4 linked regions of the Pelodiscus sinensis genome follow. The main gene of each other region encodes a partner of the protein of the gene in region 4 in a complex. Links are inferred from orthologs where the notes say so. Each region holds a gene or a part of one and is shown on either strand. Other genes may lie near its edges.

Region 1 (7,022 bases), on a different chromosome or scaffold from region 4:
GCTCCCCCCAGCACCAGCTCCTGCTCCCTGCCTCTGTCTGATAGAGGCAGTAAGGGGCGGGGCCGATCGAGTAAACTAGTTACTAGTCAGCTAGTCACTTACATCCCTAGTCTTTGCTGCCTGCTACTCCCAGCAGACACACCCAAGCTGCTGCGGAAGGAGCACACATCCACACAGCTAGCTCTTTGCTCCCCGTTTTTCCTGTATGGGAGCCAGGAAGTCTGCAGAAGGCAGGAATTCTGCACCCCCCAGAGGGCGCAGGACTCCCCCAGGAGTAACAGGCAGTGCCTGCCCCAAGCAGCCTACAGCCCGAACACACAAAGGGACACAGCACGCCAGCAGGGTGAGAAGCCTGATGATCTGCAAATGGCATGGCAGTGCATTGACGTTTAAGGGTTGAGGTTTGGCCTGGAAGGAATTAGCTCCCTGGGTGCCTTCTGGCCCTACCACCTGGCATTCAGGAACTGCTCTTGCATGTGTGGGTTAGGGAGCACCTGAGCTACAGTCCAATCTCACTAGGCAGCCACTCAAAAAAATGCTACTAAGGAAAGTTCAACTTACACTGGGGCAAAGAATATCTGGGATGAATTTCCCTTAATAAACTGCAGGCTCCTGCCCACAGATCCCCGTCTCTGCTTGGCACTGCCCATCGGGGCCGGAGGCTGAGGTTTGGCCTATACAAACACAACAGAGTAGCGACCTTACGGTCTAGCATTGCACCAGAACACAGCTTCCGAGGGGCCAAGACTACTTCACCATAAGCAGCAGTGTGCACGCAACTCCCGTCTGCATGTCCCCAGCAGCCTGGGCAACAAGAAGAGCTGGCACACGAAGACTGGGGAGAGGAAGGAGACGGAACTGTACCTGGTGGGACTGCAGACCAATGATGGAAGAATATGCTTGGATGGTGACAAAGATCTCTGGCTGGTAGGTGATTTCTGAACCAGGGACTCGGAAGGGTTTGAGCAATCCCACGAGGCACCGGGAAAGGGCATGGAACACCTCGTCAAAAATTATCTCCCCCGTGGAGTCATCCTGCAGAAGTACGAAGGGTGAAACAGTAACTGGTTTTCCAGTGTCACTGACGGGGGTCCCTAGCACCTAGCGTTCCACCACGCGCCCTCCTGGAAACATTCCGCAGAGCCCCAACCCGTGAGGGCCAGTGCCCACCAGGCAAAACCCAAGCACAGACAACCTGCACAAGGGTGGGATTCCAGCCAGTGGCAGCTGCTGGCACATGGAGCTTTTGCTGGGAAGTGGGAGCCAAGCTCGCCTGGCACCAAGATGGGACACAGCTGGCGGCAGGAGCTCTGTGTGAGAGAGCCCCGAGGTCCCCCTTGCACGCTCACACACGATGCCTGTGGACGGGCTCAGATCAAGCTCAATCACAAAGCGGTACTGTCGTGCCAGGAAGGTGACCTGCGTGGAGGGTACTAAGAGGTAGGGCCTGGGCCGGACAGACTCATGTGGCTGCCACCCATTTGGCAGGATGCTGAGAATATCCAGTTCATTATCAGACTTCACCTGCAGGAGAAAAGCAGCAAGTGAGGAAAAGCCAGGCATCCAGACGAGCAGGAAGAGGAGAGAACAAATACCCAGGCGAGAGGCTTTCACAGGGATTCTAGACTCCCAAGGAGCAGTGTTGACCAAAAATGCCTACATCTTCTCTCCTCCACGGCCAACCTGCCAAATCCGGGGGCACAGGTCACAGCCCCCTACGTCAATCCTGAGCCTGCATACTCACCAGCTCGCACTCAGGCACAGCACAAATGACTTGGCGCAGGTGACTCAGAAACCAGAGAGGCGCACGTTGCGGGAGATCCGATAGTCTTTCTTCATCAGCAGGAAGACCTGGCCTGCCTCTTCCATCTGCAGCAAATGGAAACCAGTCACCATAGCGTGGGACAGTACGAGCGGAGACCGTGACGACCCCCCCCGCCCTACAGTCCCCCCCGCACTCACCGCCCTACGGCCCCCCCCGCGTCGCTCACCGCCCTACGGCCCCCCCGCCCTACGGCCCCCCCGGCTCACTGCCCTACGGCCCCCCTGCCCTACGGCCCCCCGCGTCGCTCACCGCCCTACGGCCCCCCCGCCCTACGGCCCCCCCCCCCCGGCTCACTGCCCTACGGCCCCCCCCGCGCTACGGCCCCCCCCCCCGGCTCACTGCCCTACGCCCCCCCCGCCCTACGGCCCCCCCGGCTCACCGCCCTACGGCCCCCCCCCGGCTCACCGCCCTACGGCCCCCCCGCCCTACGGCACCCCCCCCCCGGCTCACCGCCCTACGGCCCCCCCCCCCGGCTCACCGCCCTAACGGCCCCCCCCGGCTCACCGCCCTACGGCCCCCCCGCCCTACGGCCTCCCCCCCCGGCTCACCGCCTTACGGCCCCCCCGCCCTACGGCCCCCCCCGGCTCACTGGCCTTACGGCCCCCCCGCCCTACGGCCCCCCCCCCGGGCTCACCGCCCTACGGCCCCTACGGCCCCCCCGGCTCACTGCCCTACGGCCCCCCCGCGCTATGGCCCCCCCGCCGCTCACTGCCCTACGCCCCCCCCCGCCCTACGGCCCCCCCGGCTCACCGCCCTAACGGCCCCCCCCCGGCTCACCGCCCTACGGCCCCCCCGCCCTACGGCCCCCCCCCCCGGCTCACCGCCCTACGGCCCCCCCCCCGGCTCACCGCCCTACGGCCCCCCCGCCCTACGGCCTCCCCCCCCGGCTCACCGCCTTACGGCCCCCCGCCCTACGGCCCCCCCCGGCTCACTGCCTTACGGCCCCCCCCGCCCTACGGCCCCCCCCCGGGCTCACCGCCCTACGGGCCCCTACGGCCCCCCCCGGCTCACTGCCCTACGGCCCCCCCGCCCTACGGCCTCCCCCCGGGCTCACCGCCCTACGGCCCCCCCACCCTACGGCCTCCCCCCGGGCTCACCGCCCTACGGCCCCCCCGCCCTAACGGCCCCCCCCCCGGCTCACTGCCCTACGGCCCCCCCGTGCTACGGCCCCCCCCGCCGGCTCACTGCACTACGCCCCCCGCCCTAGCGGCCCCCCCCCCTACGGCCCCCCCGCCCCTACGGGCCCCCCCCCCGGCTCACCGCCCTACGGCCCCCCCCGCCCTACGGCCTCCCCCCCCACGGCCCCCCCCCCGGCTCACCGCCCTACGGCCCCCCGCCCCGCCTCCTACGGCCCTCGCCCCCCCCGGCTCACCGCCCTACGGCCCCCCCGCCCTACGGCCTCCCCCCCGGCTCACCGCCTTACGGCCCCCCCGCCCTACGGCCCCCCCCCGGCTCACTGCCTTACGGCCCCCCCGCCCTACGGCCCCCCCCCCCGGGCTCACCGCCCTACGGCCCCTACGGCCCCCCCCGGCTCACTGCCCTACGGCCCCCCCGCCGGCTCACTGCCCTACGGCCCCCCCGCCCTACGGGCCCCCCCCGCCCTACGGCCCCCCCCCCAGATCACCGCCCTACGGCCCCCCCCCGTCCTACGGCCCCCCCCCAGCTCACCGCCCTACGGCCCCCCCCCGCCCTATGGCCCCCCCGGCTCACTGCCCTACGGCCCCCCCGCCCTACGGCCCCCCCCCGGGCCTCACTGCCCTACGGCCCCCCCCCACCCTACGGCCCCCCCCGGCTCACTGCCCTACGGGCCCCCCCACCCTACGGCCCCCCCCGGCTCACTGCCCTACGGCCTCCCCGCCCTACGGCCCCCCCCGGCTCACTGCCCTACGGCCCCCCCACCCCTACGGCCCCCCCCGGCTCACTGCCCTACGGCCCCCCCCACCCTACGGCCCCCCCCGGCTCACTGCCCTACGGCCCCCCCGCCCTACGGCCCCCCCCGGCTCACTGCCCTACGGCCCCCCCGCAGCTCACCGCCCTACGGCCCCCCCCGCCCAACGGGCCCCCCCCCAGCTCACCGCCCTACGGCCCCCCCGCAGCCGGGTCGGTACCTCCGCGTCCCCGCGCTCGCTGCCCGCCATGTCGGCCCGGCCCCGCTTCCGGCCCGCGCTGACCTCTCACCCCCGACCCGGAAGTAGAAGGGGGAGGGGGTCGGTGTCTTCAGAGGATGCAGCCATGCAGGTGAGCGGAGCGGCGGCGGCACCCCCCCCCCCCGCTGAGCCGGCCCGGGGGGGGCTCCGGGGGGGGTCTCTGACGGGAGGGCTGAGGGGGAGGGGCGGGGGCCCCGGGGGGGTCTCTGACGGGAGGGCTGAGGGGGAGGGGCGGGGGCGCCGGGGGGGGGCTCTGACGGGAGGGCTGAGGGGGAGGGGCGGGGGCGCCGGGGGGGGGGCTCTGACGGGAGGGCTGAGGGGGAGGGGCGGGGGCGCCGGGGGGGGGTCTCTGACGGGAGGGCCGGGGGCCCCGGGGGGGGGCTCTGACGGGAGGGCCGGGGGCCCCGGGGGGGGGCTCTGACGGGAGGGGCTGAGGGGGAGGGCCGGGGGCCCCGGGGGGGGCTCTGACGGGAGGGCCGGGGGCCCCGGGGGGGGGCTCTGACGGGAGGGGCTGAGGGGGAGGGGCGGGGGCCCCGGGGGGGGCTCTGACGGGAGGGGCTGAGGGGGAGGGGCGGGGGCGCCGGGGGGGGGCTCTGACGGGAGGGCTGAGGGGGAGGGGCGGGGGCCCCGGGGGGGGGCTCTGACGGGAGGGCTGAGGGGGAGGGGCGGGGGCGCCGGGGGGGGGCTCTGACGGGAGGGCTGAGGGGGAGGGGCGGGGGCGCCGGGGGGGGGCTCTGACGGGAGGGGCGGGGGCCCCGGGGGGGGGCCCCGGGGGGGGGCTCTGACGGGAGGGGGAGGGCCGGGGGCCCCGGGGGGGGGGCCCCGGGGGGGGGCTCTGACGGGAGGGGGAGGGCCGGGGGCCCCGGGGGGGGGCCCCGGGGGGGGGCTCTGACGGGAGGGCCGGGGGCCCCGGGGGGGGGCCCCGGGGGGGGGCTCTGACGGGAGGGGGAGGGCCGGGGGCGCCGGGGGGGGTCTCTGACGGGAGGGGGAGGGCCGGGGGCGCCGGGGGGGGTCTCTGACGGGATGGGGAGGGGCGGGGGCGCCGGGGGGGGGGTCTCTGACGGGAGGGGGAGGGGCGGGGGCGCCGGGGGGGGGGTCTCTGACGGGAGGGGGAGGGGCGGGGGCGCCGGGGGGGGGGTCTCTGACGGGAGGGGCTGAGGGGGAGGGGCGGGGGCGCCGGGGGGGGGTCTCTGACGGGAGGGGCTGAGGGGGAGGGGCGGGGGCGCCGGGGGGGGCTCTGACGGGAGGGGCTGAGGGGGAGGGGCGGGGGCGCCGGGGGGGTCTCTGACGGGAGGGGCTGAGGGGGAGGGGTGGGGGTCCCGGGGGGGGGGGTCTCTGACGGGAGGGGCTGAGGGGGAGGGGCGGGGGCCCCGGGGGGGGGCTCTCTGACGGGAGGGGCTGAGGGGGAGGGGCGGGGGCCCCGGGGGGGGCTCTCTGACGGGAGGGGCTGAGGGGGAGGGCCGGGGGCGCCGGGGGGGGGTCTCTGACGGGAGAGCTGAGGGGGAGGGGCGGGGGCGCTGGGGGGGTCTCTGACGGGAGGGCTGAGGGGGAGGGGTGGGGGCGCCGGGGGGGGTCTCTGACGGGAGGGCTGAGGGGGAGGGGTGGGGGTGGGGGTGCGGGGGGGTCTCTGACGGGAGGGGCTGAGGGGGAGGGGCGGGGGCGCCGGGGGGGTCTCTGACGGGAGGGCTGAGGGGGAGAGGCGGGGGCACCCGGGGGGGTCTCTGACGGGAGGGCTGAGGGGGAGAGGCGGGGGCGCCGGGGGGGGTCTCTGACGGGAGGGCTGAGGGGGAGAGGAGGGGGCGCTGGGGGGGGGGTCTCTGACGGGAGGGCTGAGGGGGAGAGGCGGGGGCCCCGGGGGGGGTCTCTGACAGGAGGGCTGAGGGGGAGAGGCGGGGGCCCCGGGGGGGGGGTCTCTGACAGGAGGGCTGAGGGGGAGGGGCGGGGGCGCCGGGGGGGGGTCTCTGACGGGAGGGCTGAGGGGGAGGGGCGGGGGCGCCGGGGGGGGTCTCTGATGGGAGGGCTGAGGGGGAGAGGCGGGGGCACCCGGGGGGGGTCTCTGACGGGAGGGCTGAGGGGGAGAGGCGGGGGCGCTGGGGGGGGGGGTCTCTGACGGGAGGGCTGAGGGGGAGAGGCGGGGGCACCCGGGGGGGGTCTCTGACGGGAGGGGCTGAGGGGGAGGGGCGGGGGCCCCGGGGGGGGGGCTCTGACGGGAGGGGCGGGGGCGCCGGGGGGGGTCTCTGACGGGAGGGCTGAGGGGGAGAGGCGGGGGCACCCGGGGGGGGTCTCTGACGGGAGGGGCAGAGGGGGAGTGGCGGGGCTTATTTCAAAGCTCTGATCAGCTTTTGCGGAAAAGCGTCCTGCCAATCTAGACGCGCTTTTCCGCAAATGCTTTTAACGGAAAACTTTTCCGTTAAAAGCATTTTCGGAAAATCATGCCAGCGTAGACGTAGCCACTAAATCTAGACTACATCCCTTTTTCAGAAAAGGGATGCAAATTAGACGTATCGCAATTGCTAATGAAGTAGGGATTTAAATCTCCCGCGCTTCATTAGCATAAAAATGGCCATAGAAAAAGTTCTCCAGGACAAAAACACAGGAAGTCATTTTGATCTCAAATGACAATACAAATCACAGAGTAATAAATAATGGTGTAGGTTTTCCACCTACCCTAAATTGCATGAATAGAGCCCTGCAAATCTGTGGATATCTGCTTTATATCCATGAGTATACCATGGTTAATTTTTGCAGATGCTGACAGAAGTTTTATCTCTAGAACCGTGCAAGTTTGTGGATATTTGCTTTATATCTGTGGGGTATTTGCATCCATGGGTGTCAATGCAGATACAGGCAGTCCCCGGGTTACGTACAAGATAGGGACTGTAGGTTTGTTCTTAAGTTGAATCTGTATGTAAGTTGGAACTGGCATCAGCCGCTGCTGAAACTGATCAGTTTCAACCGCGGCTGAATCTGGATGCCAGTTCTGACTTACATACAGATTCAACTTAAGAAACCCAGGCATCCCCAAGTCAGCTGCTGCTGAAACTGATCAG
Region 2 (7,808 bases), on a different chromosome or scaffold from region 4:
CATAAATATTTTATTTTCACTGACATTTTTGCCACTAAATGTTTATTTTTGCATCTGTTAAAACTTTGAATTGCTCAGGCCAGGAGAGACATGAGGTCAGCAATCCAGCACTGACCTGAATTTAAAACACATTCTGACAAAAAAAAGTTATTCTGTGCTTCAGTTTCCTTATAAACTAACAGTTCTACACATTTTAGCCACTGTACTAGTCCAAAAATTCTTTATGAAACAAATTGAAGAGCAAATGCAGGACAAGAAATGTATCCATCTTCTGACTGCTTGAAGACCTTTACATGGAAACTGAGATCAGAACTGTACAAGTCCAACCTCATGACCAATTAATATAATGACTGTCAGGAAATACAAGATTCTAACATATGGATTGGCAGCTTGTCCAACAAGCAGTAAGACACCACATTTCACTTCACACGGCTTTTTCATGTGTTTTCTCAACTGCCTGGTATCATTGAGAAACTGCTCCCTGCCAACTGCCCTTTCTGAAACATCCCTTACTCTAAAGCACTTGCAGCATGCTGCAACTTAGCTGTCTCTATTTAAACTCTAACCAATGCTTGTGGATTAATTGACTATGTAAAAATCAATTACATGAAGATTTACAATTTCGGCTAACTATTTCGGGATCATTAACAGAAGACCAGTGTACAGTATATTTTAAGGTTACCACAGGTTATGAAGGATGCATAGGAACAGAAAATTAAAGAAGATAAATTGTTCTAAAATATTATGTGTTGCCCCATGGCCTATTAAACTGAAACATCCCGATTTCATGAGTTCGTAGACAGCATAATAGGCCAGATCTCATTTAAAACAATGTTATAAGTGATCGGGCTGATTATTTTCAGATTACATGCACATCACACTGCAGCACCCTCAGAGTGCTTTCACTTAATTATCAAATTTGTTACTATGATACATAAATCTGCTTCTAATAAATAGAGACCTCTAAGAGATGGGCATGTGAGCTTGGGTTGAACTGAAATATCTAATTCCATTTGGCCTATAGTCTCTAATGCTTGACAAAGCCCTGGTTGGGTTGATTTACTTTGGATTGGTCCTGCCTTTGGCAGGGGTCTGGACTTGATGACCTCCCTGAGGTCTCTTCCAGTTCTATGATTCTGTAGCAAGTGGAATGAATACTTTGACATGCGGCATTTGACTTGATGCACATTTAGGCTTCACCATAGCCAGCCTCAGATGTTATGAGTTGAATTCTACTTTGCAACCCAGACTCTGATGTGTTGGCTGCTGATCCAAATTAACCCTACAACTCTATACACCATTAATTTGAAACAGAAAATTAAGTACAACTCGTAAGCTTAATTATTCACAGTAACAGGTAAAAGGTATACCAGCTTTTCTGGGCTTATACCGTGTCCTCAAACTAGTTGATAAAGTTCATCATATAATAAAAGGTGAGGCCAAAAAAAAAAACACACAACAAACGTCTTACCCCGAGCTGTAAATAATTCAGGAACCCACAGCGTGCTTCTGCCCTAAACCTAGAGATGGCCCCAAAAGTTTCAAGGGTCCCACAATCCTGTTATTTCAATCTAGGATCTTATTTGGGACACTAACCTGCAACAAATGAAGTCCCTGAGCATGGGTGCTTGCGAGTCAGGGAAGAGAAGGAGAAATGAATGAAAAGAGCCCCTTCTAGGGTGTGCTACCTATAGTACAGTGGAGAACAGCGGGATGTACGGGGAATGCCCCCAGCAGGTGACCATGTTAAAGGGAGACAGAGAGAGACTGGAACACTGGATAAGAAAGAGGAGGGAAAGTTCTCTCATAGCAAGGATGCAGAACCCGCTGGAAGCATCCCCAGAGTCTTTTATGGGGTGAAGAAGAAACTGCAGGGACCCCCCCCCTTGGGAGTGCAATCACCGAACAGCATCAGGAGGGACACTGGATGCTCTGCAGCCGCCTCCTAGCAGCTCCTAGCCGGAAAGGTCCGGGTCGCGCCGCTTTCCCAAACGAGCCAGCTCGGAAAGCCCATTACAGACAGGGAGCCCCCTGCAGGCCGCACCACAGCCTCGGTGTCGAGTCCGGAGCTCGGTCCGACACCGCACCGCATGGCCGGCTACCACCTGCCCCCTCCCCCAGCCATGCCCGCGGGAGTGAACTCACGGAGCCAGCCTGGCCCCTGCGCCACAGGGACCGGCCCTCGCGGGAACCCCGGGCCGAGGGGCGCGAGGACACCGGCCCGGCGCACGGGGAGACGCAACACCCGGGACTCCGCAACACCCGAAGAAGCGAGTCTCGAAACCCAGCGCCCCTCGCACCCCCCCCCCCCCCCCGCGGCAGGAGTTTCCGGCGCGGGGCTGCTCCGCGGGGAGGAGGCTCCGGAACACCCGGGACCCGGCACTCCAGCTGCCTGCGGGAGAGGCGCCTCACGCCAGCAGGAGCCCACAGGCATCCCCGGGGGGCAGCCCCCTCCCCGGGGGGCCCGGCCGGGGGGGCAGCCCCCTCCCCGGGGGGCACGGCCGGGGGGGCAGCCCCCTCCCCGGGGGGCACGGCCGGGGGGGCAGCCCCCTCCCCGGGGGGCAGCCCCCTCCCCGGGGGGCACGGCCCGTACTCACATTACTCTGCGGGTCGATGGCCTGCAGCAGCCGGTCCCTGATCTGCTGCGGGGAGGGGGCCGGAGCCGCTGTCATTGCCTGGGCGAAGCGGGGCGGCTGCGGCCGGGGCGGGCGGGCGGCGGGGCCGGGCCGGGCCGGGGCGGCGGCTCCTCACTCGCCGGCGGCAGCCTCCTCAGGGAGCCGCATGTTCGCTCCCCGCTCGGCGGGGGAGCGGCGCTCGGGGCCAGGCGCGACCGCGAGGGGAGGCTCGAGGCGGCGGGACTAGGCCGGACCCGTCTGCTCCACTGAGGGCCGAACTCAACTGTGGGCAGGATTCAGAGAGCCAGCCCCGCGCAAGGCACCATGGGACACGCCCGACGCCGTCACGCACGGCGCGTCTGTGACGTATGCGCGCACAGGCCCCTGGAAGGAGAGCTCGCGCCTGGGGACTCGTTCGCAATACGCATGCGCAAGGCGGGGCCGCGGCGCTCCGCACACCCTGTGTCGTGCGCTGCACCGTGCCGGGGAGGCGGCTGTCGGGCTGCCCTGGAAACCCGGCCTGGGCCGGAGCCCTGCAGCATTGCGGCCGGGCGGCAGCAGGACGGGCATGGCAAAGGTGCCCAGGAAGCCCGAGACTGCGGGCTCAGGCGCTGACTCGGGAGGGGGGAGTGTCCTGCAAATCCGGAGCGAGACAGCGAGTCTCGCTACCGGCTCGGGCTATCAGCCCTCGTGCTGCTGAGATACACCGAGCAACTCCCGTCGGGCCACATGCACGGGCTTGGGGACCCGCGGACACGCCCCTTGGCTCCTGCTCTCTTTGCATCATGAAAGCTCTATAACACGAGGGTGTTTAAGTGTCTGACAAGTCCCAGATTCCACAACAGATTGCCACTAGACAGATGCCAGGTGTTTTTTTTAAATGACGTGTGATCAAATGAAATGTTTCGTTTTCACAATAAAAAGAGCACATGGATTTTATTTTAAAAAATGACGCACATGGGGATTTCCATTCATTTTTACTGAAGTGATTAAAATGATTAAAGAAGCTACTGCCTGCATAATGTAAGCCCTCCTGGAGAGGACTGAGTTTACAAAATCTGAAGAAAACTGTTTTCTAAAGATATTAAATTGATAAGAACAGATCTCCAGCCTCCCCACCTTTTGATATTTGTAGTGACCCCAGATTAGCCACTTGATTCTTACAGTAAGAAATTTCCTACTTTCTTGTTACCTCCTCTCCCACCTCCACCTCATTCCCACCTTTTGTTCTACATAGCTGATTTGTCATTTTGTAATTTTTTACTTTTTTCATTGTATCCTTCTGTTATATAATGGTCATGCCAGTTCGCTTTCAGAATATGATCTGAAGAAGTGGGTCTGCCCCATGAAAGCTCGTCACCTAATAAACTATCTTGTTAGTTTTTAAAGTACTACAAGACTACTTTTTTTTCCAAGACCAAATTAACACGGCTACCTCTCTGTTACTATCCATTGTGGCTGTGTCTACACTGGCATGAATTTCCGGAACTGCTTAAAACTGCCAGTTTTTCCGGAAAAGGAGTGTCTACATTGGCAGGCTGCTTTTCCGGAAAAGCCCTTTTTCCGGAAAAGCGTCTGTGGCCAATGTAGACGCGCTTTTCCAGAAAAGAGCCCTGATCGCCATTTTCGCGATTGGGGCTTTTTTCCGGGAAAGACTACTGGGCTGTCTACACTGGCCCTTTTCCGGAACAGTGTTCCGGAATAAGGACTTATGCCTGAGCAGGAGCAGAATAGTTTTTTCCAGAATAGCAGTTGACTTTATACAGTAGAGCATCGTTGCTTTTCCGGAAATTCAAGGGCCAGTGTAGACAGCTCGCAGCTTATTCCGGAAAAGCGGCTGATTTTCCAGAATAAGTGGCCCAGTGTAGACACAGCCCGTGTGTTACTGTAATACACAGAGGCTGTGTCTAGACTGGCAAGTTTTTCCGCAAAAGCAGCTGCTTTTGCAGAAAAACTTGCCAGCTGTCTACACTGGCCGCTTGAATTTCTGCAAGAACATTGACTTCCTACTGTCTGAAATCAGTGCTTCTTGCGGAAATACTATGCAGCTCCCGTTCGGGCAAAAGTCCTTTTGCGCAAAGCTTTTGCGCAAAAGGGCCAGTGCAGACAGCTCAGATTTGTTTTGCGCAAAAAAAGCCCCGATTGCGAAAATGGCGATTGGGGCTTTTTTGCAAACGCGTGTCTAGATTGGCACGGATGCTTTTCCGCAAAAAGTGCTTTTGAGAAAAGCATCAATGCCAATTAGACGCTCTTTTCCGACAATGCTTTTAACGGAAAACTTTTCCGTTACAAGCATTTCCAGTAAATCATGCCACTCTAGACGTAGCCTATATGTAACTGATCAGAAAAGCTGATGGAGAGAACCAGTATTGCTAGAGACAACAGGGAAGGTGAGGAGCACTGAACATATATGTTTGGACTCCCTTACCCAAGTAGCCTGAGAACCCAGCCAGTAGCTGGGGAGGACTGGTTACCCAGCTCAGGCTGACCAGAGCCATCACCCCCAGCACCCTTTTGGCCAAGGGACAGAAGCCCAAACGCTGACAAGGACAAGTGGGACCTATGCCTGTACTTAGCCTGTGAATTTGTGGACTGAACAGCAGTCTGGGGCCCAGGACTGGTACTGACCTTGCTACACATGATTCACTGACAATAAACCTGGCTGGGCACCTTTGCACTTTAACGGATCCTTTGGTCATTGGGCCATTCAAGTTGAGATCTGCTTTGCCAACTATCCGTGCTGAACTGGTACAGCACACAGAGAAAACAAATGCATGTGCCCCTGGCCATGTCTGACATCATCCCTATGCCCAACATAGGCATTTAATTTCAGAAACGAGAAGTACATAAAAATGAGGTTAGTTAAACGGAAGTTAAAAGGTCCAGTGACTAAAGTCAAATCCCTCCAAGCTGCATGGAAACTTTTCAAAGACACCATAACAGGCTCAACTGAAACGGAGAGGCGGCCCGTGAGCCTAGGCGAACTAGGCAGTTGCCTAGAGCGCCGCTGCCCCGGATGCCCAATGATGACGTCATGGCCATTGACGGCCAAGCAGGCGGGGGCAGCGATTGCGCCACCCGCCTGGGGTGCCAGCTGCCATAGCCGGCCTTGGGCCATTCCTGCTGAAATGTGTATCCCAAATTAAAAAACCAAACAAGTGCCACTGTGGCTTAAGAACCAAGTAAAAGAAGCAGCGAGAGAAAAAGTCATCGTTTAAAAAGTGGAAGTTAAATCCTAGTAAGGAAAATAGAAAGGAGCATAAACTCTGCCAAATGAAGTGTAAAAATATAAGTAGGAAGGTCAAACAAGAATTTGAAGAACAACAAGCCAAAAACTCAATTTAAGTACAACAGTAGCAGGAAGCCTGCTAAACGATCAGTGGGGCCAGTGGACGATCAAGATGCTAAAGGCACTCAAGGACAATAAGATCATTGCGGAGAAACTAAATTAATTCTTTCATGGCTGAGGATGTGAAAGAGATTCCCAAACCTGAGCCATTCATTTTAGGTGACATATCTGAGGAACTGTCCCAGACTGAGGTGTCTAGAAGAGGTTTTGGAATAAAACTGATAAACTAAACAGTAACCAGTCACCAGGACCAGATGGCATTCACCCAAGAGTTCTGAAAGAACTCAAATGTGATAGTGTGGAACTACTAACTGTGGTGTATAACTTATTCTTTAAATCATCTTCTGTACCAAATGACTGAAGGATAGCTAATGTGATCCCATTTTTTTAAAGGGCTCTAGAAGGGCATGTTTACACTACTGAATTATTTCAAAATTACTCATGTTATTTCAAAATAACAAGGCGAGTGTCCACACAGCAAATGTGTTGTTTCGAAATTATTTTGAAATTATTTCGAAACTAGATGGAGTTACCTGGCGTTGCTTGGGAAACCAGAGGAACAAAATGTAAAAAAACAGTAGTCCATTATTTTTGTTTGAATGGTAGATTCAAACAAAGATTTAATCCCTGATTTCTATAGGGATTAAAATATAGGTCCATGTCATCCCGGGGGGGGAGGGTGCGACCCCGGATTGAGGAGAGGTTTTATGCGCCCCAACTCACGCCTGGGGCTGCAGGTTCTACATGGGGGTAGGGTGGGTGCCCAAGCTGCTGTGCACGTGGGGGTCAGGGCACTGTGTGCCGGTGCGGGAGGGGGAAGAGGGTCGCTTATGTAACTTCGCAGGTGGGAGGGGGTGAGTCCCAGACAGCGCAGGGGGCTACAGGCAGCGGGCACGGGACCTACGGTGGGTGCAGTGGTTTACTTTTTGATTTTTACAGCTTGAGCTCAGGTCCGATCGGGTCCAAAAGTACCTTAAAACTTTCTCCTGGATAAAAGGTTATCCCATGCAAAGTTTGGTTGCAGTAGCTCTTACAGTGTCCAAGTGATTAGCACACAAACATAAACATTCTCCTTTATATGTTAAATAACAGGCTTCTTATTCTGAAATAATAAACCCATTTCATGAGCAGTAACACCCTATTTCAAAATAACTATTTCTAAATAGGCTACGTTCAGATGGCACAGCTGTGCCTATTTCAGAATAATTGGCCTCCAGGGCGTCTCACAGCTGGCCTCTCTTTCCATGCCCCTCACAACGCTAAAGCGTACTTTTTCCTGCAGCCTTTAAAGGGCAGGCAGAAGGGAAAGTGCTTGTGGCATGACACAGGCCCTGTTCACACCATGCCACACAGCAGCACTCTGCTCTGCATCCCTTGCTGCAGTGAGCAACCCCAGCACTCCCTCCAAGCCCTCCACAGCTGCAAGCGAGCCTGCAGCACCTTGGAAGCCCCTGGGGCAGAAGAGGGCCCCATCCTGGACTAGTGTGGAGATCCCGGATCTCATCGAGGTCTGGGGAAAGGAATATAATCTCCAGGATCTCTGCACCAGGCACAGGAACGCTGATGTCCATGGATGAATGGCCACAAGCCTGGCCCAGAAGGGGCACACCTGCACCCAGGAGCAGGTGCGGATGAAAATTAAGGAGGTCTATCAGGCCCATGTCAAGGCCAGGGAACAAAGTTCCTGATCTGGAGTGGCACCCAAGACCTGCTGTTTTTATGCCCAATATCCTGGAAGGGGGTTGTTGGGTTCTCCCCACACCTTATCTAGACTCCAGCCTGGCCACACCTGTCGTTAACCTCCAGGAGGGCAGGGATGTGGACCAGGATGAGGGGGGAGGTGG
Region 3 (7,729 bases), on a different chromosome or scaffold from region 4:
GGTGCTCTAGGAATGGCGATGCAAAGAAATTGTCTTCTCTACTATCAAAGCGGTAGCTGTGTTCGTCTGAATCTGCAAAAGCGGCGAGGAGTCCTGTGGCACCTTAGAGACTAACCGAAGTGTTGGAGCGTAAGCTTTTGTGGGCAAAGACCCACTTCGTCAGATGCATGTAGTGGAAATTACCAGAGGCAGGTATAAATATGCAGGCCAGGATCAGGCTGGAGATGACGAGGTGGATCCAATCAGGGAGGATGAGGCCCACATCTAGTAGCTGATCTGGAGGTGTGAATTCCAAGAGAACAGAAGCTGCTTTTGTAGTTAGCGAGCCATTCACAGTCTTTGTTTATGGCTGAGTTGATTGCAGATGAACTGTAGCTCAGCAGTTACTCTTTGAAGTCTGGTCCTGAAGTTTTTTTTGCTGCAGGATGGCTACCGTTAGATCTGCAATTGTGTGTCCAGGGAGATTGAAGTGTTCCCCTACAGGGTTTTGTATGTTGCCATTCCTAATATCTGATTTGTGTCCATTGATTCTTTTACGTAGGGACTGTCCAGTTATCTTCTCTACTGATTTGTTTTCAGTATGACTAACCCTGAAAAGGGACTGTCCCTGCATGATGTCACAAACGTATTACAGGTGAGTGAGGTAATGTCTTTTATTGGAAAAACTTCTTTCTCACCCACCTTGTCTCTCTGATATCCTGGGTCCAACATGACCACAAAATTGCAAGCCACAGACATATGATGGGCCCCTCCTGTGATTCCAGGAACACTGCTGCCCTCTGCTGGCCCCAGGAGAGCACTACATGAATATCGGTGCTCCAAAAATCGTTTCTAGGGGATGTCATGTCACAATAAAACGTCCATGCTGGCCATGGTCAGCTGGTTCACTGAGATTGGGCTTGGGGCTACAAAACTACACAGTAGGTTTTCATGGCTCTGGGGCAGCATGAGTATGGATGAAAATCCCATTTAATCAGTTAACTGGGTAAACGTTGTGTTTAACTGGTTAACCGCTTAACTGGGATCCCAGGGGAGGAAGCGGCTGCCCACCCAGGCTAGAACACCCCCTGCCTTTGGTGTGGTGGGCTCCACTGTGCTGCTCCATTCTTCCTAGGCCACCAGTTAACTGGTTACCAGTAAGCATCACCTGGCAAAGGTGATGCTTAGTGGTTAACCAGTTACAGCCATACTCATGAGCAAGGAAGGTCCCAGAGTTTGGGCCCAAATGTCTGCATTACAGTTTTAGAGCCCCAAAGCCTGAGTCCTCTAGGCCAGATATAAGCCAGTCGGGGAGAGAGGGGGGTTATTGTAGTGAAGATCTCCCCCTTCTCCTCCAGCCATCCTGCAGGTCAGATCCTACGACAATGGAACAGCACCCATGAAAGATTAGGCGTGGCTTAACTGCTGTCTATGAGTATCTGCATGGAGAACAACTTTTTATTATGGAAAAGCAACAAGGAGTCCTGTGGCACCTTATAGACTAACAGATGTGTTGGAGCATAAGCTTTCGTGGGCAAAGACCCACTTCGTCAGAAGCATGTAGTGGAAATTTCCAGAGGTAGGTATAAATATGCAGGCCAGAATAAGGCTAGCGATAACGAGGTTCATTCAATCAGGAAGCATGAGGCCCACTTCCAGCAGCTGATGTGGAGGTGTGAACACCAAGGGTATGTCTAGACTACAGGGTTTTATCAACAGAAGTTTTAAGCTTCTGTCGACAAAGAGCGTCTAGACTACATCCAGTTCTGTCGACAAAGCAAGCTGTTTTGTTGACATAACAGTGTGGACGCAAAGGACAGTGTAGATGCAATAATGCCTTCTATCGACAGAACTCTGTCAACAAAAGGCGTTATTCCTCGTAGAATGAGGTTTACATACGTCAACAAAACTGCTGAGTTTTGTTGACGTTATGTCGACATAACTCAAAGGCAGTGTGGACGCAGGTATAGTTTTGTTGACAAAAGTCCACTTTTGTCGACAAAACCCTGTAGTCTAGACACACCCCAAGAGAGGAGAAACTGCTTTTGTACTTGGCTAGCCATTCACAGTCTTTGTTTAATCCTAAAGTGATGGTGTCAAATTTGCAGATGAACTATAGCTCAGCAGTTTCTCTTTGAAGTCGGGTCTTGAAGGTTTTTTGCTGCAGGATGGCTATCTTTAGATCTGCTACAGTATGTCCAGGGAGATTGAAGTGTTCTCCTACAGGTTTTTGTATGTTGCCATTCCTAATATCTGATTTGTGTCCGTTTATTCTTTTACGTAGGGACTGTCCGGTTTGACCGATGTATATAGCAGAGGGGCATTGCTGGCGCATGATGGTGTATATTATATTGGTAGATGTGCAGATGAATGAACTAGTGACGGTGTGGCTGATTTGGTTAGGTCCTGAGATGGCGTGGCTGGTGTAGATATGAGGGCAGAGTTGGCACCGAGGTTTGTTGCACGAATTGGTTCCTGAGTTAGTTACTGTGGTCTGGTGTATAGTTACTGGTGAGAATTCTCCTTGACTGAATTAACCTCATTATCTCTAGCCTTATTCTGGCCTGCATATTTATACCTGCCTCTGGAAATTTCCACTACATGCGTCTGACGAAGTGGGTCTTTGCCCATGAAAGCTTATGCCCCAATACATCTGTTGGTCAATAAGGTGCCATAGGACTCCTTGTCACTTTTGCAGATCCAGACTAACATGGCTACTCCTCTGATACTTTTTAATATGGGGCTCCTCCATCTGGCAGAGAAAGGTCTCACAACCCAACCACTGGAAGTTGAAGCTAGCCTAATTCAGACTGGAAATAAGGGGTAAATTTTAAACAGCAACAGTAGGGTTACCAATCTTCCAGGTCTGTTCAGGGTGGAGTTTCTGGGCATTAAAGATTAATCTTGAATTAAAAACTAGGTCGATGCTCAGTGGGAATAATTAACCATCAGAACAGTTCACTGGGGGTCCAGGCAGATTCTCCATCAAAGACCATTTAAAAATCAAAATGGGACGTTCTTCTTCCAGATCTGCCTTCGGAATTCATTGGGGGCAGTTTTCACACCCCGCCTGCCGACTCCACGGCTCCCATTGGCCGGGAACCCCAGCCAATGGGTGCGGCGGGGCAGTGCTTGCCTGTGGGCAGGAAGAGTGCACTGAAAACCCGATTGCCCCTGTGCCTAGGAGCCAGGCATGCAGGGGGGCTGACAGACAAGGGCAAGGTGGTGGTGGAAGCCTTGCTCTGGGGTCCTGGAATGGGTGAGGCCTTGCACAGAAAGGATAGGACTGGGGGCAGCACCGCCCAGAGTGCGCTGCAGCAGCTCTCTGTCCCCCACCACTCCCGGCAGCCCTCAGAGCTGTGCAGTGCTCTGGGGGGGCCTGGGCCAACCGACCCATTTCACCTCCCCGTTGGCACGTCTGCAGGCATGCCAACTGCTCCCTTTCCCCTCCCCCCATGCCAACTGCTCCCTTTCCCCTCCCCCCATGCCAACTGCTCCCTTTCCCCTCCCCCTATGCCAACTGCTCCCTTTCCCCTCCCCCCATCCCAACTGCTCCCTTTCCTCTCCTCTCCCCCCACATTGGCGGGCCTGCCAGCTGCTTCCAGGATCCACTGGTGGGAAGCACCCCAATCTCCTACCCCAGCCCTAAGTACCCTCCTGCACCCCAAAGCCTTCATCCCTGGTTCCACCCCAGAGCTCACTTGACTCCCAGTTGGAGCCCACATTCCCCGCACCCCAACTCCTCACCCCAGCCTTGAGCCCCACCACTCGCGAACTCCCGCCCAGCGCCTGCACCCCAACCCCCACCCCTGCTCCAGCCCAGGGAAGGTGAAATGAGGGTGGAGGAACAGGAGCCACATGTGTGTGGGGCTGGGACCTGGGAGGCAGGGGCAGAACCCCATAGAAGGGGGGGACAGAGCCTCAGGGCAGGTATGGGGGGGCTCAGAGAAAGGGGGGCAGGGATGTCTGCAGTGGACACTTGGTAGCCCCACTGGCTGCCACACGCCTTTGCCCCCTGCCCAGGCCAGGAGCAGGAGGGTGCCTAGGTGCAGGCACTGCCAGTGCAGTGAAGGAAGAGAACTGGGGCACACTGGGGGGGGGGACTGAGATGACGCTGATGGGCAGGGGGGGCTGAGACGCATGGGGGGGCAGGGGGTGGCACTGAGGGGCTGGAGAGACACTGAGGGTCACTGAGGGGGCTGGGAGGCACGGGGGGGGGCTGAGGGGTCACTGAGGGGCTGGGGGGGTCACTGGGGGGGCTGGGAGGCACGGGGGGGGCTGAGGGGTCACTGAGGGGCTGGGGGGGTCACTGGGGGAGCTGGGAGGCACAGGGGGGGCTGAGGGGTCACTGAGGGGCTGGGGGGGTCACTGGGGGGGCTGGGAGGCACGGGGGGGGCTGAGGGGTCACTGAGGGGCTGGGGGGTTACTGGGGGGGCTGAGAGGCGCTGGGGGGGTCACTGGGGGGTCACTGAGGGGCTGGGGGGTCACTGAGGGGGCTGAGAGGCGCTGGGGGGTCACTGGGGGGTCACTGAGGGGGCTGAGGGGCCGGGGGGGGGCCGAGCCCCACACGGGCCCCTTGTGAACCCGCCCCTGGCCCTACCCAGCTGGCCCCGAGGCGATGAGCTACACCCCCTGCGCGCATGCGCGGCCAGCCCAGCGCCCTCACTCCCCCGCCCCCCGCCGGGCATCCGCTCCCGGCAGGCTGCGCGCGGCCAGGCCCCCGCCCGCCGGCCGCAATGGGGCGGGGCGGGGCTGTGACGGGCGCCGGGAAGAGCCAATCCGACGGCGACGTCCCCGCCCCGGGCCGTCCCTGCGGGCCAATGGGAGGAGGGGCGGGGCCGCCGGAAGTGAGTGCGGCGGGTCGGCGGCGGGGAGCTCGGGAGCCGTAGCGGCAGCAGGTGAGTGTCCCCCCCCCCTCCCGGGGCCCCTCAGAGCCCGGCTCCGCCCCCCCGCCGCGCCCCGGTGGGTGCTCCCGCCGGCCGGGCCCGTCGCCTCAGGGCCCGGCCCGTGGGGGGGGCTGAGGGGGCAGCGCAGGCCCCCGATAATGGGGGGGGGCCGAGCCCCCGCGCACAGACCCGGGCGAGCCCCCCCCAGACTCGCTGCATTTGGGCCCCCCCGGTGGTGTGACCCCCCCGCCCCGCGCGGTTACTGAGCACTGCGAGGGGCACCGAGACCCTCCTGCAGCCGGGCGGGAGCCAGGTTCAAATCCGCCTCGTGGTGCTTACCGCGTCACTGAGGGGGGGGGAGGAGGGCTCCCCAGCTCCATAAACCCCCAATTCCAAAACCGGTTCTTTGGAAATGTGGTGCATTCACACCGAGCCACGTTTCGAGAGAACGCGCCGTTTGGGGGCAGCCCTCAGCCCGGGTTCCACTGGGATGCTGGAATAGCGCCCGCTGGCTTGGAATAACAGGCACCTTTAAAAGATGCGGAGCAGCGAAATAGCCCCGCTGGCTAGTGTCCCCAAATAGCCCCGCTGGCTAGTCTCCCCAAATAGCCCCGCTGGCTAGTGTCCCCAAATAGCCCCGCTGGCTAGTGTCCCCAAATAGCCCCGCTGGCTAGTGTCCCCAAATAGCCCCGCTGCCTAGTGTCCCCAAATAGCCCCGCTGGCTAGTCGTGCCTTAGGAAATTAGGTCCGTATACGTGCATCGTGGCTTGTTAAGATATGGGGTAGCTGTTTTGGGATACCTCCATTATCCTGAAATAGCTGTGTAGTGTAGACGTACCCTGACGGATTTCATCCCCTTTCTCTTGGGTTTAAGGACACATTCAAGTCAATTTAAGCGGCATTGTAATTTCAATGGAATCTGTGCAAGTTTTAGTGGATGCTAAAATGTCCAAGGTTGATAGACTGTAAAATAAAGCCCCTCAACCACAATCCTCCTCCCAGGGGAATCAGTGGGAAGTTTGATACTAAGTGCCCCAGCCTCACTCGCCAGGGTGAGAGTTGGGGCTCCTTTCTCGTGGTGTTTTTTTGTTTTTAAAGGAGGGGAGAGGGTGTTGAAGTGTGTTTATATAGAGGGTGTTAAACTGTGTCTGATTTTAAATTGATCCTTGAAGTGTTTCATCTAAAGCCAGAGCTGTGTGATCCGGGGTTGGTAATGGACCTGATGGCGTCTTCTGTCTTTGTGACTAGTCTGATGTGGCTAAGAGTGGCAGGGGTGGAGAGCTGAGGCCTGCTCACTGGCCTATGTGAAACACAAGTGCCTGACTCTCATAAAATACCAAACATAGCACCCTCATCTGCAGTCTGACAGAGATTCCAAGCACTGAATGCATGTCAAGGCTGAATCCTGCTTGTATCTCTCAAGGCTCTTCCAGTCTAGGGCATGTTAACTAGTGGGAGGAAAGCTCAGATTCTTTGCTAATGTTGCTGTGCCTGTTCTTTGAGTAAACAGAGAACTTGGGTTTGTAATTTTGATAGACCAGTCCCTACCGGGATTGATAGATACTAAAGGTGGAGCTAAATACCAAAGCTGATCGTAAAAATGTATCTTGCCACATTTCTAGAAAAGTCCATTTTCCAGTAGCTCCTAGCACAGGAAGTTATTTCAGAAATTGCTGTTAATATTGCAAGTCCACTGGGGGATCTGGATGGGGTAGGTGATGTATTTCTAACGATGACTTTAGATCCCATTTGCTGAAAGGGGAGTATTTAGATATGCAGTAAAACTAATTTATAACTAGCTTACTCTTACATTTTTGTGGGTTGTTCCATAGGTAGTTTCATCTGCCACAATGGGTGAACCTCAGCAAGTGAGTGCTCTCCCTCCACCTCCAATGCAGTATATAAAGGAATATACAGATGAAAATATTCGGAAAGGTCTAGCTCCCAAGCCGCCTCCACCTGTGAAAGACAGCTACATGATGTTTGGTAACCAGTTCCAATGCGATGATCTCATTATTCGACCCTTGGAAAGCCAAGGCATTGAACGATTGCATCCCATGCAGTTTGACCACAAGAAGGAACTGAGGAAACTCAATATGTCTATTTTGATCAACTTTTTGGACCTCTTGGATATCTTGATAAGGAGCCCGGGCAGCATAAAACGGGAGGAGAAACTGGAAGACTTAAAACTGCTTTTTGTCCATGTCCATCATCTTATAAATGAATATCGACCCCATCAAGCCAGGGAGACGCTGAGGGTTATGATGGAGGTGCAGAAACGGCAGCGCTTGGAGACAGCGGAGAGGTTTCAGAAGCATTTAGAGCGAGTTGTAGAGATGATCCAGAACTGCCTGACCTCCTTGCCTGATGATTTGCCTCATTCAGAGGGAGGGATGAGGTTAAAAACTGAGCCCATGGATATTGATGACAGCAACAATTGTATTGGACGGACTGAACAGCGCAGAGAAGTTGCTGGCTGCAAGAAAGAACAGGTTTTAGACAAAGATGCTGCTATGTGTAGCATTATTGATGAAATGACATGAGAAGACACTCTTGTAATTGTACAGAATTCTTGGGGACATGAAGTGGACTGGCTAATAGAAGTCATATGGAATGGTTTGTTTGTTTTTTGTTGGAGGTTTTTTTGCTGCTTTTGGTATCTGTATATATAAATCATCAAGGAATTTAGTGTATATAAACATTTAACCCAGAAATCTTATTTTTGTAGACCTAGGTAAGGTTTTTGCAGTTGACCAAACAGAAGCATTGCTTGAAATTTTGTAGATGTAATTTCTATGGTGTGCTGTTTCGAACAGAAAAGCTTTAAATCTTGTGAAATATTTTGTTGAAACAAGTGCATCATG
Region 4 (7,677 bases):
ACAACAGAAATACTTAGTTCTTACACAGCACTTTTTAGCCACAGATCGTTAAGTTCTTTAAAGGGAAGCGCAGGATCATTTCCCCCATTGTACAGATAGAGAAACTGAGGCACAAAAAGATGCTCACGGTCTCCAAGCAAACCAGCAGCCCAGCTTGGAAGAGAATCCAGGTCTCTTTAGTCCCAATTTATAGCTCTAGCCGCCAAAGTATTCTGCATCTCTCGGTGTCAGTAATAGCCGAGCAAGTTGTTGCAGCCAACAATCATGCTATATACTCCACTCTTCCCAAGATTTACACGCTTGGCTTTAAGCACGAGTCGTCCCTGTGAAGGGCTCCACATGTACACAAGTCTTTGGACCTTCCATTTCTATTTGGGAGTTTTTCAGCCCAGACATAGAAATGCAGGTAAACATAATACAACTGCTGCAGTTTGCTTATCTGGGTGATATGTGTGTCTCGCTTTGTACCACGCACATAACACAGACACGTGCACGCAAACAGTCAAACAAAACCAAATCCTGACCTGCCAAATTAAGTATGTCCCACGTGGCTCCTTTAGGGAAGAATTTCTTCATGTTTATGGCCCACTGGTAATCACTCCACCGTTCTCTCCAGGCCTGGAGAATGGCCTGTTTTAGATTGACAACCTTCATCTTTCTGTTCTGAAAGGCAGAGAGAAGATACAGCAGCTTGTTCATAACAGCATTTCTCACCCACTCCCCTCTCACCCAAACACTTCTCCTGGGGCACTGTCAATCAAGCACACCTTTTATTTCTATAACAAAGGATTCACTCTTAGCAGAAGGCAGTGCAACCTGGTTTATGCAAGAGGCTGGGAGCCAGGACTCGGCAGCTCGGAGACCATTATAAGTAGGGCCCTACCAAATCCACGGTCCATTTTGGTCAATTTCAGGGTCACAGGATTTTTTAAATAGCAGATTTCATTATTTCAGCTATTTGAATCTGAAATGTCAGTGTTGCGATTGCAGGGGTCCCCTGATGTGAAAAGGAGTTTTGGGGGTGAGAGGACACCAAATTATTGGGGGAGTTGTGGTACTGCTACCTTGTTCTGGACTGCTGCTGGCAGTGATGCTGCCTTCGAGGTGGGCAGCTGGGGAGTTGGATGAAAGCTGCCAAAAGCAGCAGCACAGAAGTAAGGGCAGCATGGTACCGTATTGCTACCATTTCTTCTGGCTGCTACCAGGGTGCTGCCATCAAAACTGGTCATCTGGACAACAGCCGCCACTCTCCAGCTACCCAGCTCCTCTGAAGGCAGTGCAGAAGTAAGGGTGGCAATGCCATGACACCCCTAAAATAACCTTATGACCCCCCCCCCTTGCAACTTCTTTTTGGGTCAGGACCTTCAGTTTGAGAAATACTGATCTCCTTTGTGAAATCTGTACAGTAGAGGATAAACGCACACAAAATACCAGATTTCATGGTCAGAGACACATTTTCCATGGCCATGAATTTGGTAGGGGCCTAATTATAAGGAAGAGACAGTAGCCCACTGATCAGCTCATGGGAGTATTGGGCGCAGGGGGTCATAAGTTCTAATCACATCAGGATGAATAGAGCATAGGGTGTGGGTGGAGTGGGGGGGGGGGGAGAATCCTGGGTTCCCTTCCTGCTCCCAGATCTGGGAAACAAGTGAGGTCTAACATTTAGAGCAGAAGGGTAGGGAGCCAGGGCTCTTGGACTTCCCAGCCGTGGGAAGGGGCAGGCTCCTGTGGCTAGAGGAGAAGGTGTGAAACCCCATCACCCTGCTTCCCCATCTGCCCCAGTGGGGCAGTCCCAGGGGGCACAGAGATGTGCATGTGTGAGCCCTATCACCTACCAGCACCCCTTTAACTTGCTTGAGGGAGGGAGGGGCACATCTACATGTGGGGGCGTTGCTCCCGCCCCCCAACACATACACCCGGGTGCTGCCCCTGCCCCCACACGCATGCACCCGGGGCACTTCCCCATGCCCCCCACATACATACACCCTGGGGGTGCTCCCCACAACCCCCCCCCACATATACACCCAGGAGCACTCCCCCCACATACATACACCCCAGGGGTGCTCCCAACAGCCCCCCCCACATATACACCCAGGAGCACTCCCCCCCACATACATACATTCTGGGGGTGCTTCCCACAGCCCCCCCCATATACACCCAGGAGCACTCCCCCCCACATACATACACCCCAGGGGTGCTCCCCACAACCCCCCCACATATACCCCCAGGAGCACTCCCCCCCACATACATACACCCCAGGGGTGCTCCCCACAGCCCCCCCCCACATATACACCCAGGAGCACTCCCCCCCACATACATACACCCCAGGGGTGCTTCCCACAGCCCCCCCCACATATACACCCAGGAGCACTCCCCCCCACATACATACACCCCAGGGGTGCTCCCCACAGCCCCCCCCACATATACCCCCAGGAGCACTCCCCCCCACATACATACACCCCAGGGGTGCTCCCCACAGCCCCCCCCACATATACACCCAGGAGCACTCCCCCCCACATACCTACATTCTGGGGGTGCTTCCCACAGCCCCCCCACATATACCCCCAGGAGCACTCCCCCCCACATACATACACCCCAGGGGTGCTCCCCACAGCCCCCCCCACATATGCCCCCAGGAGCACTCCCCCCCACATACATACACCCCAGGGGTGCTTCCCACAGCCCCCCCCACATATACACCCAGGAGCACTCCCCCCACATACATACACCCCGGGGGTGCTCCCCACAGCCCCCCCATATACACCCAGGAGCACCCCCCCACATACACACACCCCGAGGGGGGCGCTCCCCCCCTCCCCACATACAGACAGGGGCCGCCCCCTCACCTTTCAGGCCTCACAAACAGCGCCTCCTTCGCGCCCTGGGCTCCGCCATCTTGGCACCCACCAACACGCCCTCCACTGATTGGCTGGACGCGCGCCGCGCGCCGCGGAGGCTGCTGGGAGCGGTAGTTTTCTGAGGCTGGCGGCCCAGGAGCGGGGCTCTCTCTGGCTGCCGGCGGCGGCGGGGGAGGCGGTCCCATCCACAGACATCGGGCCGCCCCTCTGACTGGGGGTGGAAGGGGCAGTGGCATTTTCCAAGCTATAGGGCAGAGGGTCCCAATTTTATTTGCAGAGAGGTAGCGGTGTGCGTCTGATCTTGGTAACACACAAAAAAAGCAGCCACGTAGCTCTGTGAATAATGAGATAGTCTTGTTAGTCTTTATAGTGCTACCTGACTGCTTTTTTGGTTTTACCCATGTTATTGGGCAGAATTTTGCAGCACCCCGAATAACAGTCTAATATATGGAGCTGAAAAAGTAGCCCACAAATAAGTAAGGATCGTCATAAACAAATGCTAAACAAGGTCATGCGATCAACACACATGAAAATTGTTTTCAATCCAATTCATAAATGCTTAAATATTATTTTTTTCTTTAAATCATAAAATGTGGTTGTAATGGAATTTTCTTGCGGAACCCTTATTTTCACTTTGTGGAACCCCGGGGTTCCGCAGAACCCCATTTGGGAAACATTGTTATCAGGAATTTCAGGATTTTTTTTTTTTTCTGGTTTTAAATTTTTCATTACCGCATTGCTGAAGATGATCAAATCACAGCTCTAAGAAACTCACCCAGCCTGGCTGCAAGGGGTGGGATGCGGGGTGGGGGGAGAGGGGCAGAGCGTAGAGTTGCCAGGGGTCCGGTTTTGAACCGGACAGTCTAGTATTGGAGCTTTCTGTTCGGGAAACAAATTGAGAAAATAGAAATGAGAAAATAGAAATGTCCGGCGTTTTCTAAATAAGATGGAATGCAGATTGTGATGGAATGTCAAGTGTGTTCGGTATTTTTGTTGAAACCATCTGGCAACCGTACCAGAGGGTCCCTGCATGTTAAGGACAACCCTGCCCAGCAGTTGATGAGAAGGGGAGAATAGCAAAAGAGGGTGTCACCAAAAGGGTGGGGGTCACTGGCCCTGCACCCCGCTCCACAGCCAGACATAACTCTTCGCCGGCAGGTCGGTCAGAAGGGTTATTGGTTCACAGGGACACAGCGTAGCACAGATGTGTCAGCACAGGACCAGAAGCGGCCGGCACCATCCGTCTTGGGGAGAGGGGAGCCCAGAGCCCTGGGCCCCCTCCCTGGATCCTAAGCCAGACCAACTCACACCCTGCAGGCAGCCCCACCTCCTTTGTCCAGCTTCCCCTGCAAAAGGTGTCACCTGTTTGTACACACACCCCCTCCCAGGCTCATGTTACAGTGAGTCTGGGCCATTGTGTACATGAGGGGCTGGGGCAGCCTCCCCTCCCGGAGAGTCACATCCAAAACTCCCATTCCCGTGTGGGCACCAGTGCGGCGCCTAGGGAAACTGAGGCACGCCCACACAGAGCAGTATAGGACAGTAGAAATGACATGCAACATCCAAAATCGAACCGAGTGCATCCAACCCCCAAAGAGGGAAACTGGCTTTTTGCAGTGAGCTAGCCACGTGCTGTCTCTGTTGAGACGCAGTCTGACAGTGCCTAGTTGGCTCTGTACGGCTGTGTGTGCCAAGAGCCAGGCAGGCACTTCCCAAGCACGCAGGAAGGCCGGCACCTGCTCACAATCCGAGGCATTAAAAACCTCACCAGTCTCTCCTCCATTTTAGTTGGGATTGGTCTTGCCTAGAGCAGGGGGCTGGACTTGATGACCTTCTGAGGTCTCCTCCAGCTCTATGGTTCTATGGTTCTATGATGGACTTGCCTTGGTTTGCACAGAGTTCGGACAGGGCCCGGGGCACCGGGCTCGGCTTTTCTCTCGTCCTTTCCAACTGCTCCAGCACGTTTAACGAGGCTAGACGTGTTTAATAATTCACTCCGTCCTCTTTTCCCCAAGAAAGCATCGCTCCAGCAACCACAAAGATCAGGGCCGTCAGCTCCAGGACCACAGGGGACCCTTGCGGTCACCTAGTCTGACTGGCCAGGCCACAGGATCTTGCCTAGATCATTCCTAGAGGGGGCTCTTGTAGGGAAAAAAAATCCAATCGTAATTTGAAAATGACCCGGGACGGAGAAACCCCTGTGGATGTGATAGGGACTTGGAAAGGGGGTGAGAGCCAGGCCAGGGGGACGGGAGGGGAGATTTTCTTGTACTCTCATCTCTCCCCATCTGTTGTCTCCTGTATTAGATTGTAAGCTCTTTGGGGGAGGGATTAGCTCCGTTTTCGGTGTCTGTACAGAGCCCAGCGCCACGGTGGGGTGTCACTACAGCAATGCAGAGAAAGAAGAAGATCGGGGGTTATCCGCAAGGAGGGACATTGGAGAGCCTTCTGGAATACGCTGGTATTTGTACCAGTTCTTTGCACCTCTCTACGCCGTAGGGAAGGGTGCAACTCAATGGTGGGCAACCTGCAGCCCACGTACGGCCCTTTGGAGGTCTATGTGTAGGTGGCAAGATTGTGCTGGTTTTCGCCCACGTTGGTTTTTTCCTACCGGTATTGCTCACAGCTCTGCCCGCGCCTCTGAAGGGACACAGCCTGGCGGGCGTTTGTTCGCGTCCCCGTCTCGAGGGGAGGTGGCAACGCCAGGGTGGAATTGCCCTGCCACGGCCAAGCGCACAATCAGCGTCCTGCCTATCCACTCCCAGGTGGAACCTGGCACAGGCCGGCTGAGGAGCTGACGCCCCCGCCCCCTTTGCTGTGTAGCGCCTAGTGGGCGGAGTGATTTGGGGAGGGGCCACCGACTCCTGCCCAGGAGCCAGGGACTAGTGAATTGGGGCTCCGAAGAGCTGGCCAGGTCTGTTCCTCTGCCCTGCAGCTGTGCCCAGCCCCCCCACGCCTGGTCTAGCTGACTACACTCGCAGGGGCCTAGGTCCCACTGCAGATTTCACGGGACAGCTAATAACAGGGGCCAGGTCTCCTGGGTCCCTTGATTTGGCGGCATTGTCTTGGATTCCTGCTCTTGGGAAAGGGGTTCACCAGGCTTGTCTCAGACACGCAACCCACCAGCCTCTTGGGGAGAGGCTACAGCCGTGGTGACCCATGCGCTAGCGGCTAGCCACGGGCGGCTGTTTGGCCGGTTGAACTGGCTGGACACCATGATGCGAGTGGGAGGCCAAATAGTATCGACACCCCCACGGTGGGCGCCCTGGGAATTCCACGGCAGAGCTCAGGGCTTAAGCTAGAGGAGTCTCCCCATTGGTTATTAATGATATAGGGGCCTATGACACACATTTGGGTCATTCGGATTCAGTCCAGCAGGGGGCAGCGCATGCATGCACATGCTCTCTCTCTCTCGTGCAGCTCCCTCCAGAGTCCCCCCGAGACCCACAGCTGCATTCTACCAGCACTGTTCTCGTGGGCCCTAGCAGACACAGCTGCACTGCCCGTGCCCACGCACTCTACTCAGCACTGCAGTGGGAGCTGCGTGGGAGGATGCTCTGGACTGGCAGTAGCCGAAACCGCAGGGAACGTTCCCCCCAGCATAGCAGCTGGGCTGGGGCCTCTCTTCTCTCTCTCTTTCCTGGCATCTGTTTCCCCCCGCAACATGCCACCCACCCTCCCGGGCTGGCTGGCTGGTGCGCCCACATCACCGGCTCCCCCTCCCCGAAAGCCAGCGTCTCCCCGTCACATGCCCTGCGCTCACACCAGAGACCTGTGTCGTTCGCCATCTGCCAGAGAAATTGGGCAGCGGCTTGGAAGGGAACCTGGAGGAGGAGCCGGGTCCCTGGCAGCGTTAACCCAGAGAGCTGGCAGCTCCGGGCGTGGGCTCTGCTGCAGACGGCCACGGGGCTGGGCCAGGCCAGGCCCTGGTGCCACGGACATGCCAATGGGGGGGTTGGCCCCTTGCTCCATGGTCGTCCTCGAGGATCGTGCATCTCAAGGTGCAGACCAGGCCACGTTTACAGCGTGGGCTGAACGAATTCTAGCGGGCGCCGAGGCGCAGCCAAGAGGCAGACCAGGCCCAGCCTGGGTGGGCTAGCATGAAACGGCCCCTGGGCGTGAGGGCGCAGCCTGGTTTTCAGCAGGGCCGGACACCTGCAGGTTCCCCACCGGCAAAGTACCGAGGATGCCGCAGACCGAGCGCTCGCTGGCCCTGTCTGGGGTGAATGGCACCACGGCAGCACAACCAGCTACTCATCACTGCCCCCTGCAGGGTGGAATCACCAACTTCTCGGGGCCGCGTGTCATAGGCCCCTTACTGCTAACGGAGATTCCCCTTGCGCTGTCATGCCAGGGGTCTGGCCTGTCAGCACGGGAAGCCCTGAGATCTAGCACTAGGCAGTTCTGTGTCTCTGTGCTGGGGCAGCACAGAGCCGTCTAGGTCGAAGTCCCTTGCTTCCATGCAAGCGGCAACCCACCTCTTCGCCTCTCTTGTGGCTGGGCAGGATGGTGCTCTTTGCCTTTCCCCCGCAGCAGGGAGCAGAGGACAGAGGCTCAGAGTAAGGATCAGCCACACGAGTCTTACAAAATTCTCCCCCCCACCCACCCCACCCCGGGTCTTCATCTGCTGCCTTGGGACCTTCCCCCATCCCACCAGCCCTAGCCCAGAAAGGGACTTTTCCCCTCACTGCTTGTTCAACAAGACAACCCCGAGACCCGCTCAGGGCCAGCCCACAGCTGCCCCGGCCCACATGGTCACAGGCTAAGCAGGTGAGCGTTCTTGGCTCCATGTCCCACAGGGAAACCGAGGCACAAG

Evidence for each region.
Region 1: MED24 (region 4) and MED8 share a complex: the UniProt entries of both Homo sapiens proteins name them as parts of the mediator complex. The link is inferred for Pelodiscus sinensis from reciprocal best matches to the Homo sapiens genes MED24 and MED8.
Region 2: MED24 (region 4) and MED26 share a complex: the UniProt entries of both Homo sapiens proteins name them as parts of the mediator complex. The link is inferred for Pelodiscus sinensis from reciprocal best matches to the Homo sapiens genes MED24 and MED26.
Region 3: MED24 (region 4) and MED7 share a complex: the UniProt entries of both Homo sapiens proteins name them as parts of the mediator complex. The link is inferred for Pelodiscus sinensis from reciprocal best matches to the Homo sapiens genes MED24 and MED7.

What each region holds. Positions count from the first base shown.
Region 1 is NW_027465825.1:9,101-16,122, forward strand, and holds the start of MED8 (mediator of RNA polymerase II transcription subunit 8), read left to right. Parts: upstream 1-4,019; 5' UTR 4,020-4,057; coding exon 4,058-4,063; intron 4,064-7,022. UniProt on the Homo sapiens protein: Component of the Mediator complex, a coactivator involved in the regulated transcription of nearly all RNA polymerase II-dependent genes.
Region 2 is NC_134729.1:30,941,979-30,949,786, reverse strand, and holds the start of MED26 (mediator of RNA polymerase II transcription subunit 26), read right to left. Parts: upstream 3,011-7,808; 5' UTR 2,673-3,010; coding exon 2,598-2,672; intron 1-2,597. UniProt on the Homo sapiens protein: Component of the Mediator complex, a coactivator involved in the regulated transcription of nearly all RNA polymerase II-dependent genes.
Region 3 is NC_134727.1:39,200,472-39,208,200, reverse strand, and holds the start of MED7 (mediator of RNA polymerase II transcription subunit 7), read left to right. Parts: upstream 1-4,724; 5' UTR 4,725-4,877; intron 4,878-6,697; 5' UTR 6,698-6,715; coding exon 6,716-7,408; 3' UTR 7,409-7,729. UniProt on the Homo sapiens protein: Component of the Mediator complex, a coactivator involved in the regulated transcription of nearly all RNA polymerase II-dependent genes.
Region 4 is NC_134739.1:11,072,958-11,080,634, reverse strand, and holds the start of MED24 (mediator of RNA polymerase II transcription subunit 24), read right to left. Parts: upstream 3,001-7,677; 5' UTR 2,850-3,000; intron 664-2,849; 5' UTR 655-663; coding exon 525-654; intron 1-524. UniProt on the Homo sapiens protein: Component of the Mediator complex, a coactivator involved in the regulated transcription of nearly all RNA polymerase II-dependent genes.